2 linked regions of the Macaca mulatta genome follow. The protein of the gene in region 1 binds, or shares a complex with, the protein of each later gene. Links are inferred from orthologs where the notes say so. Each region holds a gene or a part of one and is shown on either strand. Other genes may lie near its edges.

Region 1 (3,562 bases):
TCACAGTAGTTGTTACTGATTGGCCTCTTCAGCATCCTTGAGGCAATTGCCCTCAGTATGGTCAGAGGACCCAGTGGGTCAGCTTAGGGGGCCCAGTGTCAGCCGTGGTTGGGCGTTTGCCTTCTAGTAGTTCAGCCATGTTGGGTCTGTTGCATAATCATGGGTTAAGACCCACATTCTAAGATTCACTCTCCCTAATAGGTCTCAGCAAGAATAACTGACCTGGCCAGGTGTGGTGGCTCAATCCTATAATCCCAGCGAATTTAGGAGGCTAAAGCAGGAGGATTGCTTGAAGTCAGGAGTTTGAGCCCAGCCTGAGCAACATAGTGAGACCCTGTCTCTACAAAAAAAATTAAAAACATTAACTGGGGGTAACACACGTCTGTAGTCTCAGCTGCTCAAGAGGCTGAGGTGGGAAGATTGCTTGAGCCCAGAAGTTGGAGTTTACAGTGAGTTATGATTGCACTACTACACTCCAGCCTGGGCCACATTATGAGACCCAAAACCAAAAAAAAAAAAAAAAAAGAAAAAAAGCCAACTACTAACCTGAACCCCGCTTTTTTGGTACTTTTAAACATTTTCAAAATGGTAAAGTAATACATGCTAATGAAAGATTTAAAAATTTATCAAGTGAAAAAATCACCCATAGACTCATCATCTCAAGACAACCACTATTAATATTTTGGAGTATTTCATGTTCTTCTCCACCCAGAATCCCCTACCCACTGTTTAGGGTTATTTTTTGAAAGTCATAGATAATTTCATATCTTGCTATTTTCACTTCGTATTATAATGATTTGTCATTAGTTTCACCTGCTTTATAAGCAGTTTTATTACTAAAAGCATTTATTGGTTCTCAGTTTTTAGATTTAACCTACAGACAAATGAAAGACTATATTTTCTAGTGGTGATGTCATAGATCATTATATGATCACACCATATTTACTTTAGCTTGACCTTGATTTTGGGACATTTAGGTTGCTTGCATTTTTTTCACTATAATAAATAATACTGTTAAGAGCATCTCAGCACTAATAACTTTTTTCTTCTCTATAGGATTATTTTACTAGGCAGAATGCCCAGAAATAGGTCAAAGGGTAGGAACATATTCAGAATGAAGAGTTAAATGTTCAAAACAGAGGACTACTACCATCTCCAATCTTCAAGCTCTCAAGTGGAGGCAATCCGTGGATTGAGCCCCTCCCTGAGACTCTCACTGGGCATGGGGCTGCCTACTTGGCCAGGTCTCCTCCTGTTCCTGAGCTGTGTTGTCCTGGCTCAGTGTCATTGTCTCCCCTTGTCTGGGGAACTGTCAGTGATGCCTGAGCTCAGGCGTGGAATGATGGGGCGTGTGGTTTTACAGCACTCTCTCCTTTCCTGGCCGGCTGCTGGCTGGTTTCAGCGTTTCCCTGGCAGCTGAAGTGAGTGCGCAGACCTTGTCTTGGCTATGGGCTGCCCGTCATGTCATCTGCATCTGTTTCTCCTCATCTTTCTTCTGCACAGGTGTGAACAGGAGCATGCTGCTGTCCAGGATAAGCTCTTCCAGGTGGCAAAGACGGAAAGAGAGGCTGCCACCAAGCACTCCAAGGCATCCCTGCCCATGGGTGAAGGCAGCATCAGCCATGAGGAGCAGAAGTCAGTCCGGCTGGTGAGTGCAGATTTTCCCTGAACTAGCCTGAGCTGGGCAGCACTCGGGGAAAGAGGGGGTGGGCCCTGGCACCTGGTTAGTCTGAAGCCCTGCTGGCTCAGGCTGCCCCTGGGATGTGCTCGGCTTCACCTCTATGGAAAAGGGTCTTTTGGGAGCCAGGAACTTGGGTTCTCCCAGCCCTGGCTCTGTCAGTGATTTGCTTTGCTGCCTTTGGCATGTTTTTTCAGTCTCTGTGGCCTCAAGTCTATACAGTAAGGGACTAGATCACTTGACAGTCTCATTCAGCTCTGAAACTTCACAGATGTCAGGGCTGCAGTGGTATGTGTTTCGGGAGGGTGTGAGGAGAGAGGACTAGAGGCCTGGAGCCATGTAATATATGACAGGGAGGGCATCATCTTTAGAGTTAGGTAGGCTGGGTGCAAATCCTGGACACCCTGTCTGTGAGCCTTGCTCGAAGATCATGATGCTCACACACAGGACTGCCCAGGGAATCAGAGGAGATAGTATTTGTCCAGGACTTAGCACATGCCAGCAGACTGTGGGAGTGCACTATTGTTATTGTCATTAATACATTTAAGTGATGGGTGGCTATTAGGGTATTTTTGCTTAAGTGCAGCATTTATTTTGCAACATGAGAAGTCTCAAAGTGCCCCCAGGGTTGACTAATTCAGTGGCTCACTAGCATCATCATAGACGTGATGCTTCTCTTCCTGCCACTCTGCCATCCACAGTGTGCCAGTGCATCCTAGGGAGGCTGTCCCCATGGTTAATAAAGGCTGTTACTGCCCCACAAGTCCCATGCAGACAGTAAAACCCTCAGTAGAAGAAGAGAGGCTATGCCGGCCCTTATGTCTCTATCACAAGGATAACTTTCCTAGAAGCTCCTGGCAGAATTCCTCTTACATCACACTGACTTGAATTGTACCAGGTGCCCATGGCTAAGCCAGTCCTCAGCAGAGGGGATACAGAGGGCTCCACTGGCTGCAGCTAGGGCTCTTTTCTAGTCACATTAGGGAGATTGCGCATCCAGCCAGAATTAGAACTGACAGCAAGGAAGTTGGGGGAGGGAAGCATGGCTGTGGGCAGCATCTAATAACATCTGCTGGAGGTTTGAGACCAGGAACAGCCTTGCCCTACTTTAGGTGGGTAGCCTGGTACACACGGTGTGGCCTAGAAGGGGGTTGAACATGATGTGAGAGCATCATTTGGGATTGTGCTCTCCTGGGAGGGGGGAAGGCAGACATGCTGGCTGGGCACAGGCCTTAGCTTACTAATTTGATGACTACACAAATGTTTGAAGTGTGCAGTGGGCACATAAATGCACGTTGAACCAGGCCTTCTGGGAAATACAAACAATGTAGGATCCTAGCCCTCAGGAAGTTTTAGTCTGTGGAGAAGACAAGCACTGACTTGTGCTTTGAAAAAGGCCAGTTTGGTTACAGTAGTTGTTAAATTGAGGAAAAGATTTGGAAATGCAAATGTGTAAGCTGCTGGTGGATCAGAGCTGGTAGATCAGAGAGGGCATTTAACCTCAGCCTTAAAGGATGAGGGGCAGCTGGGCTGAGACAGGTGGGTGTTAAGGAGGTGATCAGATCCAGTGAGAAGAGTGAGGTTTGAAGCCAGATTTTAGAAGGCCTTGGATGTGCTGAGGAGTTAACCCTCAAAGTAGCCCACAGTGATCCTGAAACAGTCAGTGGTTGCTGAAGTTTGTAAGGATGGGAGTGATGAGATCTGACTTGTGCTTTTAGAACCCCGTGGCATCCTGGTGAGGAATCAGTTGATACAGTGAGAAACTGGGGCCAGGGCATGCCTTCAGAGGCTCTTAGAGTCAGTCTCTGAGAGGCAGATCGGTTGTTACTCCTCTGCAGGTAGCCTGACAACCAAGTTAGAAGGACCCCTATCCTGGAGATGAAG
Region 2 (4,336 bases), on another chromosome or scaffold:
ATAGTAAATGTGTCTTAATGCATTAAATGAGCTCTAATGACTACTGTATTTTTGAAGCAGTAATGAGCGTAAATATTTCAAGATCTCTGACACGACTGCAAGGTAACATGAAAATATCTGTGCTTTCTATTGATGACAAAGTCATCAATGCTAATACTACTGTGGCTTGTTGTCTACACTATAATTGAAAGAAACAAAGTTCAGTTAGAGGTTAGTGAAAATGAAGTTGTCATTTTTTCCCCCATACAAGTTCGCACACCCCATGAATTAAGACCTTCTGCCCTAATTTATCAATATGTTTCACACTTTTACGTATGTGTGATGTTACACTGCTGATGCAGAGAGCCTTCTGAGTCTATTCAATATTTCTCCTTGGGGATGCCTTGGAATATACAATCCTCTTAAGAAAGAGAAAAGCAGCCCTTAACATCTGGGAGTTGGCTGGCAGTCACAGCTGGGCCTTGGTGTTACCACTGCTTCCTAACAACACCCGATCCAGAGCAAAGCTCCTGCTTCCTTGAACGTACCCCAAAATCACCGAACCAAAGCCCAAATCCTATAATAAATCTAACTCTTTTACTGAAATATGCCACTGTGTTCCTACATGTGCGTTCTCCTTGGAGCAATGAGAAACCCATTTTCTTCAACTACAGGTGTGCCCCTAGTGGTCTTTGGCTGGAGGGCAGTGGCACATCACTGCACAAATTCCAAATTTTTCCAGATGCCCGCCCGGATAGGGCTTACACTTTTTATAGGATTAGGGCAGAAATACAGAATGAAATAGGAAATACATCCTCATTATGAGACAGTGAAACAATTGTTTTGGCTAGAACACAGGTTTCAAAGGCAGACTAATGGGTTTGGATCCTAGCTTCCCACTTTCTGTGTGGTCTCGTACAAATTACTTCTATGTGCCTCAGTTTCTTCATGTATGTATTGGGAATAATAACCATGCCCACCTACTTCCGTCGTTGGAAAGATTAGATAAATGTGAATAAAGAACTTAGATCATGACTGCGCATATCAAAGTGCTGTATCAGTGCTTGTTACTCTTGTTAATAAGATAATTATTGCCATTATCATTTACTTCTACAAGTATTAAGGGACAAACATTTGATTCCCAGAGAGGAGGCTTACCGCTTGTTTCTTAAAGGGAAAAAATAAGGTCAGAGCCTTTTCCGATTAAAGGACACAGCATATTAGTTTAAATTTAAAACCTGAGAAACCTCCAGTCCACGGTTAAAACCTTTCGTAAGATAAATCCAGGCCGCCAACCGGCGGCTTCCGGCTGCGAGGCTTTCGAAGTCGCCCGAGACCCTCCAAGCGCCCCCTCCCGGCAGCCTCTGCTCACAGAAATCCCAGTCCACGCCGCTGGGCGCCCGGTCGCCGCGGCAAAGACAGTTTCCCAGCGCCGCGCGACGCCAGGCACCTCCCTCCTCGCGCCTCCGCGTACCACCCACACAGAGCCGGCGCTTTCTTGCCGCCTAGCAACCGCCGACGCAGGGGCGGAGCCTCTTGGAGGGCGGGGTTTGCGTTCATCCGCCGCCCGGGCGCGACGCGCTGCAGCTCAGCGACGCGGCTTCTAGAACGGGGTGATTGAACTAAGCCTTCGCCGCACCGAGTTTGCAGTACGGCCGTTACCCGCACCGCGGCCCGCTTGCGGTTGGAGAAATCAAGGCCCTACCGGGCCTCCGTAGTCACCTCTCTGTAGTGGGCGTGGCCGAGGCCGGGGTGACCCTGCCGGAGCCACCGCTGCTAGCGACATGTTCAAGGTGAGAGCGTGGAGCCGGGTCACAGCTGTCACCGCCCCCTCCCGGCTGCCCGAGCCCTCCCCGCGCTCTCTTGGGGCCTCTCCGCAGGCCAGGCCCGAGGCTTTTCCCGCCACTGGGCCGGCTGCGTCCCGGCCCCGCGGTTCATTCACTGGTCTACTGTGGATGAGCGGCTGCCGGGCGGAGGCGAGAGACCCCCGGGTGGGTGGGGGGCGGCCCTTTGGGTTGTGCTTTCGTGAATTAAACACTTTGAAAATGTAAAGTGCCTTCCCCCAAAGTACCCATCCCTTCGGCTGGTGCCCTCTTGGGATCGTGGGTAGGGGGAGGCCAGCTCAGGGCACTGCGGGGTTCGCGGCTTTAGTTGCCTGGCAGGGTCAGGTTTCAGAACCTGATGTGTGGATGGGGGAGGGTCATTTTAGGAGAAGCTGTGCAGGGTATGGGGGAGGCTGGGGTGGGATGGCTGGGTGACGACGAAAGCTGGAGCTTTGCTCCACTCCCCAGGGAACATTATTTAATACGGACCAGTGGACCCCCTTCCCTGCGTTTTGTGAACTCGTGTCCTTTGGGAAAAAAATAGACTTTTACAATGAAGACTTAATTTCGAAAATCTGCACTGTAGTATAAAGCCATTATTCTACTTTTTAAAAAGTAAATTATATGTATTTTGTCATAAAAAATCACAGGCTACCAGAAATTAATCTACAAAATTGAGTCTTCAAGAAGCATAGTACCCATAAAATAGTGCTAATGAAATCTCAGAATTGTAGTATTCATTTAAAAGTTTTGTTGAGCTCTGCAATGTGCTTTGGGTACGTTAATAAAGGCTGTAAAATCAGAACATGCATTCTGCCTTCTAGTCCTGGCATTGCCACTTTCTAGCTGTGTGACCTTGGGCAAGTCACTTACCTTCTCTGTGCCTATCTTCTTTTTTGGTGAAATTGGTGTAAAAACATCTACCTCATAGGGTTGTTATAAGGAGTAAGTAAGTTGGTATGTGTAAAGCACTTGGAAAAGGCCTAGTATTTGCTCTTACTCTGTTTTCAGGCAGCTCACAGTTTAGTCAGGAAGACAGATCCTATAATCAACATTCATTTGATAAATTTGTGTATTAAACACCTGTTATGTGCTAGGAGCTCAGCTCCATTTCAGGGTTACGACAAGGAAAGATATGCTGTGGCCAGTTTAACTATATGTGTACCAACACTGTAGTAAGGTAGTGAAAAGGAGAGCAGGATCCACTTGGCTTAACCAGGGGTTCCTAACCTGGGGCCCTCAGCTCCTCAAAGGACCTGCACATAAATTTCAGGGGGTCCCTGAACTCTGATGGTGAAAAAATATAACTATTTTTAGCAATCTCCAATTGGAATTGAGCACTTCCTTTAGTTATGGGTAATGTTTCAATTATCTATTGTTGGGTAACAAATCACTGCAAACCAGTGCCTTAAAACAAGAATTGTTTCTCAAAATCTATGGGTTGGCTGGGTAGTTCTGCTGGTGGCTTGACTGAAAGTTGGCCTCACTCGCATGTCTGGGGGCTTGGTGCCCCTCCGTGTGCCTAGCTTGGACTTCCTCACTTGGTTACTGACTTCCAAGAGGGCAAGTCCCAAGGCACAAACACAGCATCATGTTTGCTGATGTCAAAACAAGTCACGCAGCCAAGTCCAGAGTTGATACAGTGGGGAACTACACAAGGTCATAGACATGAGTTGGTGCACTTCACTGGGGCCATTCATTTTACAAGCTCCTACCTTAACAAACCACAGTAGTATTAGCAGTACCTGTTACCAGTGGAAGTCACAGTATCAGCACAAGTCACAGACATTTTCATATCACATTACAGTTGTTGCAGATCTCAAAATATCATTTATGCTCATTACTACTTCAGAACTATGATAGTTAATAAGACTCACTGCTAGATCTTTTTGTTTAGTGGGCTAGTAAAGAAGCACATACTGTTTATATCAGATATTTGTGTTTAAAAAATAAGATTATTTCAATATAGTTGGCACTTTTTTGTATGCAATTAGAGGCATCATTTTGAGAAGGGGTCTATAGGTCTCACCGACGGCCAAAGAGGTCCATGGCACAACAAAAGGTAAAGAACCCCTGGGGACTTCAGAGAAGGCTTCACAGACGGGACACTTAAATTTAGTTTTGAGACAGGTAGGAGTTCTTCAGGTAAATGAGCGGGGGAACATCAGTGGTATTCCATTGGGGGAAGTGCTGGAAACTCAGTTTTGATGTGTCAAGGGAAAGATACAGTGAGCTGAGATGATTATTATTGTTATCATTATTTTTTTCAGACAGAGTCTGGCCCTGTTGCCCGGGCTGGAGTGCAGTGGTGCGATCTCGGCTCACTGCAACCTCCGCCTCCCGGGTTCAAGTGATTCTCCTGTCTCAGCCTCCCCAGTAGCTAGGATTACAGGCGCCTGCCACCACACCCAGCTAATTTTTTTGCATTTTTAGTAAAGATGGGGTTTCACCATGTTGGCCAGGCTGGTCTCGATCTCCAAACTCCTGATCTCGTGATTCGCCCGCCTCAGCCTCCCAAAGTGTTGGGATTACAG

The links. The genes of interacting proteins can lie anywhere in the genome.
Region 2: CHCHD6 (region 1) and APOO share a complex: the UniProt entries of both Homo sapiens proteins name them as parts of the mitochondrial contact site and cristae organizing system (MICOS) complex. The link is inferred for Macaca mulatta from reciprocal best matches to the Homo sapiens genes CHCHD6 and APOO.

What each region holds. Positions count from the first base shown.
Region 1 is NC_133407.1:157,207,177-157,210,738, reverse strand, and holds part of CHCHD6 (MICOS complex subunit MIC25), read left to right. Parts: intron 1-1,503; coding exon 1,504-1,648; intron 1,649-3,562. UniProt on the Homo sapiens protein: Component of the MICOS complex, a large protein complex of the mitochondrial inner membrane that plays crucial roles in the maintenance of crista junctions, inner membrane architecture, and formation of contact sites to the outer membrane.
Region 2 is NC_133426.1:23,700,471-23,704,806, reverse strand, and holds the start of APOO (MICOS complex subunit MIC26), read left to right. Parts: upstream 1-1,527; 5' UTR 1,528-1,763; coding exon 1,764-1,772; intron 1,773-4,336. UniProt on the Homo sapiens protein: Component of the MICOS complex, a large protein complex of the mitochondrial inner membrane that plays crucial roles in the maintenance of crista junctions, inner membrane architecture, and formation of contact sites to the outer membrane.